Diceros bicornis minor: one gene and its partner. The protein of the gene in region 2 purifies or fractionates together with the protein of the main gene of each other region. This does not show direct contact. Links are inferred from orthologs where the notes say so. Each region holds a gene or a part of one and is shown on either strand. Other genes may lie near its edges.

Region 1 (7,834 bases), on a different chromosome or scaffold from region 2:
TTTGCTCCTTCTCTCTGGCAGGACCTAGTGCTGTGACCCACCCTTGTCTGTTTTGCTTGAAAGCCATTCCCACTCTGACTCCTACCCCGACACACTCTGTTTATACTGCATTAAGTTGGAAACAACTCATGCCCAACAATAGGAAAATGGGTAAGCAAACTCCTATGGCAATAGGATGGAACCCTTGGGAAACAGTGACAAGGACAAGTACGTAAACAATGTCCACATGTGGTACACGTGCTTTCAAAACACTATGATTTGATCAAACTGGAACACAAAATGACATATACCTACTGATCACAGGTATGTAAAAGTGAGTTTCTGCAAATTGATAAGAACCTGAAGTGAACTTAAAGAGATTTTTATCTTCACGGGTTTTTCTTTCCTATAAAGATTATGTTCAAAACAATAATAAACAGTAAAATGCATAATAAATAGGATCATAATAAGCACAGGAGGAGGCAGAGAAGGAGGAGGAGTCTTTCTAGGCCCTGGGGGACGGCCTATCTTCTCAAAAGGGCTGGAATTGAATACAGGGGAGGGAAGGAGGCTGGAAGTGGGGGAATGAAGGAGCTCAGTGGGAAGCAGGAGCCAGGCATGCCTGGGGAGCCAGCACCAGAGGCGCAGAGGTGCAGCTGGGAGCCTTCCCCTTGGGGAGTCCCTCAGGGACAGCAGGGCAGACCAGCAATCTGGACTCGTGCTCCAAGGGCACATTTCACATCAATTACAATGTCAATGGTGCCTTCCAGAGTTGTGCAACATGGCGGTTCTGGGACAGAAAGATAATGGGAGGGGGTCTGCTGGACACAGAGCCACTGAGCTGTTCACCTGTTTCCATACTTCTATTGTCACCCAAGATCTCCTGCAATTTTTCTGCACCATTCATTTCGGAGGACTAAAGTGGGGCCTGGCCTACAGGAGAGCACAGCCTTGCTGCAGGGTGCTGGGGGTACCAGACTGGCAGGGAGCAGATGGTGTGAAAGGCTCCAACTTAGGCTCCCCTGGACATAGGGCAGCACACTCCACAGACATATCAACCTCAACATGTCTTAAGCTGACTCCTTATCTCAGCAGCCCCTCCACCCAGACCTGCCTCTCCTCCCGTGTTCCCCATCTCGGTACATGTCACCACCATCCAGCCACATCTGGCTCCAGCTTCAGCTCTCACTCTGCTCTACTTTGTACCCTGTGTCCCACTCACACTGAAATGTTTACAGTTCCCATAACATGCCAAGTTCTCTCATTGCCCTGCCAGGCTATGCCTTCAGCCTGGAATCCCTTCCTTACCTCGTCCAGCTGCTTAACTGTCAAGAGTCAGGTAGAGCAGCATCTTCCTCTATGAAGCCTTTCCTGCTCATCCCCATCCACCATCCCACCCACCTTACCCTCCACCATCTGTCCCCACGTAGACATCAGTACTTCATTCCTCTCTGTTGTCCCAACATCCAACACTGCTCCTTCTTCAGCATTCAATGTATATTTTATGAATAAAAAAAAAAATGACTGAATTTGGAGGGTAAATTTTAGGGTGGATTTGATTAATAAGATCAAGCCCATGTGTGGTACCCTTTCTAGAGCAGGGTCCCCTCTGGTCTCTAAGCCCTTCGGAGACTTCCCCTGACCACACACAATAGGTGCACCTGTCCTTGGGTCCCCGCTCTTCTCAAACACTGGCCCCTGGTGGCTTCTCTCATCTGTGTGTGGATTGTGCTGTTCAGGGGAGTGAGCCCCGACTCATCCACCTGACTAAGCTCAGAGGCACTGCGTCTGGTAGGTGGGTGGGTGGGCTGAAGACAGGTCATTTCTTGGCATCCATGAGAGGCAACACCTTAGCTGGTCCATGTGCAGCCATCTAGGAGTGGTGGGGGCAGCGTGCAATGGTTCTCACTGATGTTATGTCATCACACTTTCTGGCTGAGTGAGCTCTTTGATCTCCAGTCACACACAATGGGAGCAAGGGCAGCCACTCATGTCCTCTGCAGCAAGCTGGTTTCCAGGAATGCCCTTGGCTGTGGCCTGACATGAACCACGTAGGCCTGCTGCCTTTCCACCAGGGCAGGGAGCGCTGCCCCTCCATCCTTCCAGTCTAAGCACCCCGACTCCCCTAGGTCAGCCTCCCCAAACCCACCTTGGGCCAGGCACTCACGTAAGTGGAGTCACACCTTCTGGTCTCCTTCTTGGCTCAAACTGTGAAGGTACTGCTTCCTCTAGGCCTGGCCCTGTCTTCACCACCCCCAACAGCAACAGCCAATCCTGTGAACGTGGTGATAGGGAAAACCTGTTACTTTGGTTCAGGAGTAAAAGAGAGGCTGAACTTCAGTCTCCAGGAATCTCATAATCTGAATACTAACATGCACAGCATGTCCTGAGAGACAAAGCTCTCAGACAATGGAAGTTTTAAAAATCAAATCCAAAAGACAAACACACCCTGCTTCCTTATTTTTAAATAGGCTATCCTAAGTCACATGTTTTCCTATTCAAGGAATGTGGAGTTTTCACCTCTGTTCCAACTCGTTCTGCCTCTGTTCTCTGAGCAGGCAGCTCTGATCCCTGGACTCTGACAATAGTTCAGGCAAACCCATAGGATGAAAGCTACCTCAGGCCATATGTCCAAAGAGTCCTGGGTGGGCAGGTATAGCTCTGGGCCCCGGCTGGGAGATGAGGAGAAAGGTGCCAGTCTGGCACCCTTACAGATGAATCCAGCATTCTGGTTCCCCATCTCTCTGTCCCTTATGCTACAGGAATACCCCTGAGAGGGAAGTTGAGGGGCTTGAAAGAGTGGGCAGATGAGAGAATCCTGACAGTTAAAGACCAGGATCTGCAGAAGTGTGCATCCTACCAGGCACTTCCACAGCCTGCATCAAACAGATGGCCTCATGGGGCTGGAACATGGGCTTCTCTGTCTAAGACTTCTGGAGCCCCACAGGCAAGTATTTCACATACTTCCCAACTTTGAACATAAACCAGTGGGGAAAATATCACTTCAAACTACAACTTCTTTCTTGAAAGAGTTGACCCTGTCAGAGACCTGGTAGGTTTCTGGATATGAAAAGGTGGCCTGGGGAGAAATTTAGGAAAAGGGCAGTGGGAAGACTTGAATAGTCAGCACCGTAGAGAAAAATCTGGCTTCCCAGAGTTACTCAAGGAGGGGAGGATGAGGTGGAGGGATGGGAAGGGAATAAGAAGAGGAAGCTAGATTAGATGGCAATGGGCTAGGGATCTTTGTGGGGTGGTGCGGCCAGTGAGAAATCCTGGGTGACAAGATAGCCAAAATAACTTTTCAGAACATTTTAGAAATATGACTTTAAATTGTTTGCTGTGTGATGTAATCTCTCCCCTGTGGCCCACAAACCTTCATTAAAAGTTCTGCTACATGTTACGGCATTATTTTTGTGGTTGTTTTGGAATAGGGGTGGGGGTTAAAAGGAGAAGGGGCTATGTTCCATATTTGAATTGACAGCAGGAACTAAAGAAACAGCTACAAAACCAGAATAGCGAACAAAACTTCAGATGAGGCAGAAAATTAGAGCCAGAGGTAACCATGAAAATCTAAGTCCCCCCAGTAATTCACAGAAATCCTGGGGAGGGCATTGGACTTTCCACAGGAAATGGGAGTTGGAGCCAACGTCGTTCGAATCTCAAAGGACAAGCTACCTCAGCTGACATTAGGTTGCAAATACGGTTTGAGTCTTCGGGTGGACAAAGCCTTGCAAAACATAAAACGTATCACACTCATCTTTACTATCCAGGGTCTAGCACAAGAACAGTACGTAGTACGGCCCAGTAACAGCATGTACATGGTCCATGAACGCCCTGGTTGCCGCACTGGGAGCTGGCAGAGTCTCGTGCTTAAGGGGCGGGGTGCATGGAGCAGGAAAGCCATTCAGGCTCCTCCACCCCCGCCCCTCATGCTCTCCACCCTCTGACCCATTATCCCTATGCTCATGGCCGACAACATCAGCTCTGCGGCCTGAAGGTCTTGTAAACAGGCAAGGCCCAGCGGAGACGGTGGTGAAGGAGGTCACAAAGGGTCGCGCAGAAACCACACAGCTTGGAATCTGTTCTGCCCACCCTTAAGTCAAAGAGGCAAACACTGCCCCTTGGGAAGGGGCTTCTGGTCCAAAGGGCCTGGGGTGGGGGCAGTGAGTGGGCTGTCTTGGGCCCCGAATGTCACCTAGGACTGGCTGTAGGATGTGTCGTGTGGGACTCTGGTCTTTGCTCCCAAGCATCCCCCTCACGCTCTTCCGAGATCTTGCCCGAAAGCCCGCAGTCCCAAACGCCCCCCCCCCGAATTACGCGGCACCCTTGCATGAACCACGCGCCTCTCACAGGGCTGATGGCGCCACCTGGCGGCGCAAAGGGTCAGGCTCACGCTGGGAGCTTCAGCACCAGCGAGCTGGGAGGAAGAAGGGGTGGCTTCGGCGGCCCAGTCCAGCGTGGTGACGTCATGACAGAGCGCCGTTTCTCCCCGCCTCTTCCTCTTCCCCGGAGCTGCCAGTACTTGACGTGGCGTCACCTTCCTCTACCCTTACTTTGCGTGCGTGTTTGCGTGCGGCGGAGGTGGTGGCGCGGACCGGTCAGAGCTCCGCGCTGCTGCTTCTGGTGCTCTCGTCGCCGCCGTTGCTGTTTGGCTGTCTTGGACTGCGGTGCGAACGCGGCACGGGTCACAACTCCTCAGCCCCGGACGCAGCTCGGCGCGGGGCCCGGCGGGAGGGTGGGCGAGCGCGTGTCGGAGGGAGCCGCGCGGGCGGGCGAGCGGGCGCCCGAGAGGGAAAGAGGCGGGGGCGGCGGGTCAGCCGCGGGCCCGGCCGGCCGGGGGATGTCGATGCCTGACGCGATGCCGCTGCCCGGGGTCGGGGAGGAGCTGAAGCAGGCCAAGGAGATCGAGGACGCCGAGAAGTACTCCTTCATGGCCACCGTCACCAAGGCGCCCAAGAAGGTGCGGGGGCTCTGAGTGGCGGCGGAGGCGCAGGCTGGGGCCTCGCGGAAGGGGCGCGAGCGAGCCCGGGGCTCCAGCTAGTTCGGGACTTCGGGGCAAGGTTCGAGGTGCCCCGGGACGGCCGAGGTGGTGTGAGGGGCGGGTGAGCGGCCCCAGACCTATCCCGAGCTGTAAAGGCCGCCCCTGACCTCACTTTCCTTTGTCCCTCGGCCCTCGGGATCTTTTCGAAACCCGGCAGGGCTGGGCCTTAAATTTGCGGCTGACTTTTCCTGGATGAAAGGTCTCCAAGACGGGAGTGGGAGGGGGTGAACCAATTCAGTGGATCTCTGTGACCAGCCCCATGGGATGGAGGTGTTCAGAAAATCTCCCCTCGGGCGAGTGTGTAAATCGGGTAGAGCTGCTTCGGGCAAATCTTTGGAAGCGGTGGCCGGTTTATCCAACAACTGCGTGCTAGCTTGGAGCAGGAGGGAAAAAATGCGTGGAGCTGGGTCTTTTATGCAGGTGAAAGCAATGAGGACAACATGCGATTCAAAAGAAAACTGATTTTCACCTTTTACGGTCGTCCAGTTGCTTCGACATATGTGAGAAATTAACCTTTGGAGGTTGGTGACAGCAGACATTGTCATGGATACAGGTTGATCGTAGTCATGTGCATAGATCACTTAGGCATCCCCTGAGAAAGGAGCTTGGGTGGGTTGGAGGGGTGGGTGGTAAGGAACGATTGCTCATTCTTTACTGCACTTACTGAGGCAGAACAAGTTTAGTCTGTTGTGCTGGGGGTTGAGCTCAAAGGACGCCCTTCTAATTCTCTTGTGGAAAAATAAATGGCAGCCTTTGGAGGTTTTAGTCTAACTAGTTCTCAGAGTGGTGGAATTGGGATTTGTAGTGCTTTCTGAGCATTTGTTGCCAACCACATCTTGACTTGTGACATACCTGGCATCCAGTTAACAATAGACCAGAGAACCTTTGCAGAGACGTGACCTTTCTGAAACCAGTGAGAACCTGGATAAATATTTCCCTCCTATATAAAGACAGAGTGTTTCAAGGCTGTCTCTCTCTGCCTGCAGTGTTTGATGGGAGGCAGTGCTTCTATAAGCTGAACAAAGCAGGGTTTGCAGGAGTAGTTACAGTCTTGGAGGCTCCTGCACCTGAGCTCGTTATGCTGTCATAAGTGGGAGAGATGACTTTTTTTTTTTGAAAATTAATCTACTACTCCAGAAATCAAGTGCAGAATTGAAAAGACAGGTCACCATCGTGTGCTTTAGCTCTGTTTTGCCACAAAATTAAGCTCTTACCAATAGAATGCCTAAAAAAAGGTTATAGAAGATCCCTTGGTTCTAAGAAGTCTGATTAACCTTATTTTTAGTGCTATCAGTTCAGCTGACTGCTTTGTTGGGGCAGTAACCCTTTGTAACCTGCATTATTTGGAGATACAGTCTCAGCCTTTATAAGCAGAAGGCTTAAGGGTAGTACCTGTGATGAGTTAGGGGGAAGAATGGGAAAGCCCTGGTACCCTAATCCCCTGAACTCATCCTCTCCCCATTAGCCTGTCCTCTTTTGTCTAGTTGCTTCAAGAATTAGGTGTTTTTATTCTTACTTGCCTCTATTTTAGTAAGGCTTTATTCTTGGAAGTGCCACTATTAGTAAGACAAAGTTTGTATTGTAGATTGTAAACTCAGTAAAGGCAGGGACTCGTGTTCACCATTGTATCCACTCTGCCTAACTCTGTACCTGGCATACAGTAGGTAGTCAAATATTAATTGCCCACCTGGCTAACTAGTAATTTGTCTGTATGACTGCCTACCAGGAATAAGTATCCCTTTTCCTCTTTTCTTCCCAGGAGGAATATTGCTAATGTGTACGATTGTCAGGCCAAGTGGGAATGATTTTAGAGACTCATATCCCATTAGCTGAAAGAAGCAGTTTTTGCCAGGAATGTGGGAAGACCCTGTTGTAAGTTTCCATTTGCTGGTAAATGTACCGCCGGGTTTCTTATTAATCTGCTCCTTCTGAGCTTTATTGTTTAGCATTTACGCAGCACTTTGTATTAAACTGCTTTATGATGACTAATTACCCTTTCCCTGGTGATGATAAAAGGCATTTATTTAGTTAATGAGTTGGTTGAGGACTAGTCAAGGTCACGTAGCAATTCCTAGGTGATCTGTTTTTTCAGAACTTCAGCTGAATTGGACATTGTGTTTCAAGTCACTTTTGTACCTCTGCCATGTACTGATACTGTGAGAAAGCATGAAAAAAGTAAGAGGAAAAATGTAGCTTGGCCTGTACTGAATGGTGTGAGAAAAAGGCCTCTTTAAATGGTGCCGTCCTTCACCTGTGAGGATTCCAGTGTGGTTCTAGACCAAGTAATCCTTGGATCATTCCAAGCCCTAATGCCCTTCAGGGAATGAGGACATTTCTGGTGCCAGTCAGGGTGACTTGGATAGTCCTTAGATCAGATTCCATTGTAACTGGTGAAATTTTATTCACTATGTTTGGGGAAGCGTGATGTCCATCAATTAGAAGCAGAGATGTTGGGAATCTTCAACTATAACCATAACTTATTCAGTTTTGTATACCCCAGGGTCTACCACAGTGCTATGTAGGTAATAGGATTTGTTGGTTTGATTCAAGGCTTGATCTGGTTGTCAAGAAGCCATCTAAATGGGTACCACCTTAAGCAAGTGAGCTTCTATGCCTCAGTTTCCTCATCTGCCAAGTAAGTGCTTTTTGTTTGGAATAGGCGCCTGGCATATTGGGAGCTAAGATAGCAAAAGTGGTTTTTAAAAAGAAGTCTATTAGTATACTTAAACTCTCTCTTTTTAATGAGCATTTGAGATGGCTTATAACACAGGACACATACAATGTGGATAGGAAGTCAAAACTGTAGAAAGAAGG
Region 2 (7,412 bases):
AGAGAGCTCCACAAACCCCCAAAGGCCAAAGCCTTCCTGGCCTTACTTGTCATACCAGGTGTCCTCTTAACACTTGTAGCCCCTGAGCTAAATATCGATGTCAAGGTCAATACCCTCCCATGTGGCCCACCTTTTCTTGAGTCATACTCACCCTCCAGGAGCTTGGGCACAAAGTGGGCAGCTGCCTTGGTCTTCTTGACTCGATTTCCCTTCATGACTCGACCTTTCTTGTCCAGGCCCAGGTACCAGGCCCGGCCAGAACGGCACTGGCGATAGAGAGCAGAGGCGTACAGGACATAGTAATTCTCAAAGACGCACTCCTTAAAGCGACACTCAGCTGTGAAATGTGGCTGAGGGGACAAAGACCCAGAAAGGCACACAGACAGAGACAAAAAGACACATCACTGGACAGAAGGCAGCCCTGGGAAGAACAAGCCAGGATATAATCCACACATTTCGGGCTGGGAGGGCCAACTTCTGAGCCCACGCAGAAACTGGGAGAAAAAGAGGATGAGGAAGGCCCCTGAGGGTCAGGAACTAGACTTTTGGGAGCCCTGGAATAAGAAGATACCTTCTCTCTACTCTACTCCCAACCTCTCACAGTCCCCTATCGTGAATGACTTCAGGGAAGTGAGTAATAATGAAGTCGAGAGGAGGTAGGACAAGAAATGGCGGCCCTAAAAGGCTGAGAGAGTTGGACATTCAAAGAGCCTGGGGGTATCTGGGGGGCTGTGCAAGGAGTAGGGATTGGATGGACCCTAGAGGAGGTGCTCTGATGTGGGCGAGTCCCCAAACCCCAGGCCACTCAGCCTCACTGTCTCACCGAGCTGTAGAGCAGCCCCTCAGCATTCATGGCCATGTAGTGACCCAGCTTGGCACTCTGGATGGTGACCACACGGAGCCCCACTGGGATCAGGTTGAAGTGCGCTGGGGGTGGAGAGAGCGGGCATCAGTACCCCAGGCCTCGAACCCCCATCTAAGCTCCCCCCATCCCAGCTCCACTTCTGCCCTTGGGGGATCAAAGAGCCAGACTGAAAACAACAGAACCTGAAAGGGAATAGGATTGTCATCTCCTAGCCCCATCTCCCCCTTCCCACCCAGCCACTGGCTTCCCCTCTCACTGAAAGAGCTGGTGTCCTCGGGGGTGCCCTGGATGCTCCCGTCAGGATTCGCCTGGAGGTAGAAACCCTGGCGGCAGAACAGTTTGGTGACGATGCCTTTGAGCTGAGGCTCTGGAGAGAGAGACATTCGTCTTTGAAAATGACATCTCTGTTCCCAGAAACATTTCTACACTTGGCGGGATCAGAAGAAACAAACAAAGGAGAATGGAGGGAAGGAAGAGGGTCCCAGGGCCCCAGCTCTTGGATCCTCCAAGCAAGCTCTCTCCCACCTCTCTTTGACTCCTGAGAAAGCTGGGGTGTGGGTCCCTTCTGCTTCCTCTAACCACCAGCTTTCAGTTTAATTTATTGAAATTTATTGAAATTGCTTAATTCCTACTCTACAGCTCAACCAGAAGCAGGGGGAGGGGAGAAGAGGGAAGAGGAAGGGGAGAGATACATCAAAAGGCAGAGGACAGTGGGAGACAGGCAGGGCTGCTGAAGGGGCAGTGTGTTTGCGAATGTGGGGGGCAGCAAAGTGACCACAAGGTAGGGGCGCCCCCTCAGGAGTGGGGGTGGGACTGGGCCTGACGCTGACTCAGCACCTGCTGCTGCGGCTGCCGCTTGCTTGGCGCGGGCCTTGCCTTGGCCCAGCGCCGGCCTGTCTGACACTGACCCATCTGTCTGTCTGTCTGTCTGTCAGTCTGCTGGCTCCCGGGGGGCCCAGCCCTCCCTGAGGCTCAGCCAGGTAACCCGCCTGGGGTGGGGGACATTCGGTACCAAATCAAGGAAATGGGGGAGGGGGCTGGGGAGCTGGCGAGGCAGGCTGAGTCACGTGGGGCCCGGTCCCACTCAAAGGGTGGGCTGCGGACCGTACCACTGTGGAGGGCCGGCGGCGGGGAGAGGAGACCGCGAAGGGGCCACCCCCAGGAGAGCTGGGAGCGGGCGGGACCGAGGCCAGAGGGACTCCCTGCCTGTCGTAACTGGACGGGGACTACACGCTAACCCTCATAGCTCTCCTTCCCCGTCGCTTGCTCTAGGCCGACTTCCCTGTACCTCCTCGTAGGTGGTACAACCCCCAGTCTCCGTGCAGGTCTCCAGCCATGTACTGTGTCTGAGTTCCTGGCGGCAGAGGGTCCCCTGAGTATGTGGGACCCGATTTTGGAGTCGCGTAGGGGGTAACGGGGGGGTGCCCAGTTCCCTTCTTGAAGCGCAGGTCACGGGAGGATGGCGCACAGAGAGGGGGACTGGTGAGGTAGCTGCAAGGACAGCCGGGGGAGAGGAGCGGGGATTGGCGCCGAGCCAGGCAAGCTCGGCCAGAAGGAGTCCAGCCGAGGCGGGGAGGAGCGGGAGAACCGGGGCGGGGGCGGGGCTGCCGGAGCTGCAGAAACCCTCGAGGTGACCCAGGCGTCCGGAACCCCCAGCCCCTCCGCTCGGGATTGCAAGAATCGCGAGAGCCGGCACGTAGGCGGAGAACGGTGGGGGTGGGGATTCCTGTGTTGGGGGCGGCGAGCAGGAGCTGTGAGGCTTAGGGGCCCCCGACTTAGCCCCTCAAGCTTTCCCCTTGCCCTCGAAAGCAAGGAGACTCGAGGTTATGGACAAAAGAGAAGGGAAACTGAGGCATAGTCTGGCAGAGACTTTGTTGTCCTGGCCCACCCCCTTTCACTTTCGGGGAGCGCCCTCAGTCGGGCCGCATTCTTCAGAGTCTCTGGCCTCAACCTCCCAGGCAGAGAGACCCAAGGCCCGGAGACCCCGCCCCAGCCACTCACCCGGGCCGCGATCTGGCCGCGCGGGCAGCCCCCCGCACAGTTGCACCTTGGACAGCAAGATGAGGAGCTGCTTCTGGCAAAGGGACTTGGTGCCGCGGGGACACACGCGTCGCTGCGCCGACACAGGCCGGCTGCCCCCGGGCTCGCGGACCTCCCGCTTCTGCCGGATCAGGCTACTGGCCAGCGCCGCCATGGCGCCCCAGGAAGAGACACCCCCAAACCAGCAAGCGCCCGAAGCGCGCTGGGCTCCTCCAGAGAAGCCCGCTCACCAGGGCATGCTCGACACTACAGTCCCGATTCTGCGCCCCACCAACAGGACCTGAGGATAAGCCCTAGACCCTTCCCCCCCACCCCTTTACACCAGCTCCCACCCTTGGGCCCCGTCTTAGCTCCGGACCCAGCAGCCTATGTACCTCTCAGTAGACCCCACCCTCGACTTTCGCCCCCTACTGAAAACTCTCCCTTTCCCTGCTCTCCAGCGTCCCTGTTCCCACTTCCGCTATCCCAAAGCCAAGACCCTCAAAATTTCCAAGATGTAGTTCCAATATCCCCAGGCACTTTTCCACCCTATTTTGGGGCCCTGCACTCCTGCCAAATCTACTCTTGTAATCTAAAAGGTGTGGGTCCTTAGCTTTGGGGATATATTAGCTCACCCCACCCCATCCCTACTAGCGTGCTGCCAATGTCAGGGAGGAATCCAACCTTGGTGTCTTTGCCATCCTCTAAGTGGAGAGGATCCCCCACTTTTTTCACTGAAATCCCCAAAAACTATGTCTGGGAATATCCAAGCTGTCCGTGGTCAGTGAGAAGGGGTTCCTAGACCCTGTCTCTGGACAATACCTTTTTTTTCACCAAGTCACTCCCATTTCTAGTGGCACTGGGTTCCCGCGGTTGAGCCCCTTTCCTCACCTTGTTATCCTCCTCTCCTTTTGAAGCCACATCCAAAGCCTCCCTTCCTAATGGATACACCAGGTTGTTGTCTGGAGGTCCCTCCCTTACCTGGAAATAAGGAGCATCCGGTTTTTCTGCTTCTTTTTTTTTTTTTCCTGGCTGTCCCTTAATTTCCTCGGGGACAGCTGGTGCTGTTTAGATCCCACGCCCTCTAATCCATTCAGCCCCCTCAGCGAGGAGTGCACCCACGTTGTCACCAATCCCCAAATGTGAACAGGCCCCCTACAAGTCAGAGCGCATCAGAGCTTCCTGCGACAGAGCTTCGTCTCCTCCCCGGGACTGCCTACAGCACCCCCTCTTCCTTCCCCGACGCCCCTCAACCTGTCCTGTCTTGTTGATCCGGCGACAGGTGGCGCTGGCTCCGGTTCCAGGCTCCCCCCCCCCCCGTCCTCTGCAAGCGGAGCTTCCCCCCAAGCCCGGCTAGGCGCCCAGGACCCCAGGAAGGAGTGAGGGTGTCTCCGCAGAGCGCCCTGGTACAGCGAAGTCAGAGCACTGGGCCTGGCCGCTGGACCAAGCCGAGCGGCGGGAGCGCGGCAGCGGCAGCGGCTGTTGGGGAGCTGAGGCGGCGGCGGCGACAGCAGCTCCCCCTCCTCGGAGAGCCGGCCCGGGGGCGGGGCAGGGGGCGGAGACGCTGGGAAAGAGTGGGGTGAAGCTGGGCGGGCGGAACCCCAGGGTTCCTTGGAGGCAGGGAGTGGGGACGGTCTTAGAGGCAGGCAGAGTGGAGGCAAGGCCGCATGTCTCGGGGTTCAGAGGAGGAGGGACAAGGAGGCGACTCCACTGAATGGAACCCTGGATGGGGGGAGAGGTTGGGCTTAAGGCAGACGGAATGGCGGACGCCCCAAGAATGGAGAAAGGGAAGAGACTCTACTGCCCAGGATGGGAGTTCACAACTGGATGAGGAAAGTGGGGGCAATAACTGAAGAGATGGGGGTAGTGGTGAGATCTAGCCTGGGGTGAAATCCGGCCTCATTAATATCTCTGCTTTTGTGTGAGCCAAATTGGTCAGTCCCTGGTCTCCATACCTCTCTCCCTTCCACGTTTTGTCAGCAAAAAACATTCCCCCATCCTATTGACTCCTAAGAGAAAAGGCCATAAGAATTGGGGGGAGATGGTTACCGGAGGCTGCACCGGAGTGAGAGGGTTGCTGGCCACAGATTTGGAAAGTAGAGAGGCCGGAATGGAAGGACCTATGCCAAGAATGGGGCGGGAGGAGGGTGGGAGGATGGGGAGGAACCGGCGAGGAGGCCTTCTAGAAAGGGACCTTTGGGCAGGGCACTAGATCTGTCTCCCAGGCGAGGGGCGAGCAGTCACCCTCCACATCCCGCTGGCCAACAACAAGCACTTTCCACGCTGGTAGGAGCAGCGTCTTTAATGGGCCCCGCCTCCCACGCCAGCTAAGCCGCCCCCCTTGCGCGCAGCCTTGGCCTCCTCCACCGCTGCTCGCAGGGCCCCGGTAGGGTCCCCGCGGAGCCGGGCCAACGCTCCGAGCAGCGCAGCGGCGCTGTCCCCCGCACGCAGCTTTCGGCCGCTCAGAAAATAGTGGGGCAGCATCCTGGCCTCGAGCACACGGCCCAGCTCATCCAGCAGCCCGAGGCAGCAGGCGCCCGCATTCTCGGGCCGCGCCAGATAGAGCGCCGGCAGCCGCTCGCACGCCCAGTAAAGCAACGTCCGCAGGAGGTAGGGCGCCGCGGCCCGGGTCCCGGCCACCAGCGGGCGCAGCAGGGCCTGGGCCGCCCCGTGCGCTTGCAGCAACGGAGCGGGTATGCGCGCCTTGAGCGCCAGCTCCTGGCGGGCGAAGCAGAGCTGCCAGCCCGAAGCGCCCGGCCGCTCTGTGCTGCTGCCGGGCACCAGGTAGAAGGACGACTCGGAAGCCAGCGGGCCGGCCCACGAGTGGCTCCGAGCCCCTTCGGGCCAGCCGGTCACGGACACCACGGGGATCAGGTCGAAGAGCAGGAGGTGGCGCGGGGGGCCCGGCGTAGCCAGGAGGACGGTGGTGAACCCCTCGTGGCGGGCTGCGTGGACCAAGCGCGGGGCACCAGGGACCGGGAACAGAGACTCAGCGACCGCGGCCAAAGAAGCAAAGAACCACGCAGCCACCTGTGCGGGGCACAATGTGGGCCATGTCTCCCAAGCCTCCGACGGCTGTGGGACTGGGCTAACGTCGGCTGCTTTGGTGACGTCACCATTCAGTTTTTTCAATGGTGCGGGAAAGCCAAGATCGGTTACGTCTTGCCCAGGCGACTCGGGCCCCGAAATGTTACTAGGTGGTTTTTCCAAAGACACCTGCGGCTCATGCTCACTGATGTAACCATGCGGCTGGTCCACTGAGCTTTGCCAGTCCTTGGGACTTCCTTCACTTTCGGTTCTGTGGATCGAATCAAGTCCTCCTGGGACTGGGGGTCCTAGGCAATCCTGCCATGCCTCCCGGACCGAGGTTCCGCGTAACTGCTCTGGGAGACAGAGCCATGCGTAACAGGATTCCCTGTCCATTTGTAGCTCCTGCCCAGTGCTGTCTAGAGAAAACACCGGCACCAGGAGTGTGAAGCCGGCGTCGTAGTGAGGTCCCCGGGCGTAGGGACCTAGGGGTGCAGGCCCCAGATCCAGGGAGCCCTCGCGAATCCCGCCACGAAGCAACAAGAGCTCTGCCTGGGGAGGAAAGCGGGGGTCTCTGCGGTGAACAAGACCTAAGGGAAGAGAAGGGATTGTGAGGGCGTGACCCAAAGCCGGGGCTGGGTGGGGCGGGGCTGAGATCTGTGAGTTCCCGAAGGCAGAGAGGGTTACTTACCGAGCAAAGAGAAGACAAAGTCCTTGGCCCGGAGGAGGTCTGGTCCCGGCTTGGGCCCGTCACTCCAACTCTCCTGTACACCTAGCTCCTGGATCAACTGGGTTAGTTCCTGCAGCTGCGCTCCGGAGCAGAAGTCGATGTCCATGAGCGGCCGGGCTGGGGCTGGGGGCGGCGGGCCCCACCAGGGTGCACTCCCCCAGACCGTGGAAGCCATGTGGCTCTATCAATTTGGGCTAGGGAAAACACGGAGGGGAGAAAGCCTAGACGGGCCTTTCCTTTGCTGCTGAAAAGTCGCCCCGGTTCTTTTCTCTTCCCGAGGCCGAGAGAGTGCCCCAGAGACAGTCCGCCAATGGGTCTGCAGATGAAGGGCTCTGAATTTAGTCTTGAAAACGAACAAATACCTCCTCCGTCCTTGCCCTTTTCTCATATGCTAGTCCCCGCCCCCATGGACCAGTTCACCTGACTCAGCAGGTAAAAATTAGCTGTTGGACTCCTCCTACGGAATGCGATAGCCAGTCTCCTCCGCCGCCCCTTGTTTACCTCCCCTTACCTCTTTTTCGGAAGAGCCTATGGTCTGCGGCTTCCCTTTTCGGGGTAGCTACAAGGGTTGGGAAGAGAATGCATAAAATGATTCAACAGGTAACTTCTTCCTGCTGCCCATAAGGCCACGCCCCTAAATAGGGCCACGCCCTTTTCTGGAGGCTGTCAGGGTGGTTCCGGGCCGGCCCCGCCTCCAGTCAGAGTTCAGACTCTCCCTCTCTGCGGAGATCTCGCGCTATCCTAGGAGTTATAGTTTGTCTTCGGTGCTAC

The links.
Region 1: the proteins of FGF11 (region 2) and AHCYL1 purify together in Homo sapiens (affinity purification with mass spectrometry; 3 studies listed by BioGRID and IntAct, with this or other methods). This does not show direct contact. The link is inferred for Diceros bicornis minor from reciprocal best matches to the Homo sapiens genes FGF11 and AHCYL1.

The regions. Positions count from the first base shown.
Region 1 is NC_080743.1:43,022,747-43,030,580, forward strand, and holds the start of AHCYL1 (S-adenosylhomocysteine hydrolase-like protein 1), read left to right. Parts: upstream 1-4,768; 5' UTR 4,769-4,819; coding exon 4,820-4,939; intron 4,940-7,834. UniProt on the Homo sapiens protein: Multifaceted cellular regulator which coordinates several essential cellular functions including regulation of epithelial HCO3(-) and fluid secretion, mRNA processing and DNA replication.
Region 2 is NC_080757.1:10,882,329-10,889,740, forward strand, and holds the start of FGF11 (fibroblast growth factor 11), read right to left. Parts: upstream 3,180-7,412; 5' UTR 3,060-3,179; coding exon 2,867-3,059; intron 1,233-2,866; coding exon 1,122-1,232; intron 928-1,121; coding exon 824-927; intron 351-823; coding exon 152-350; intron 1-151. Other genes in the region: TMEM102 (transmembrane protein 102), read right to left, coding at 5,186-6,501, 6,603-6,816.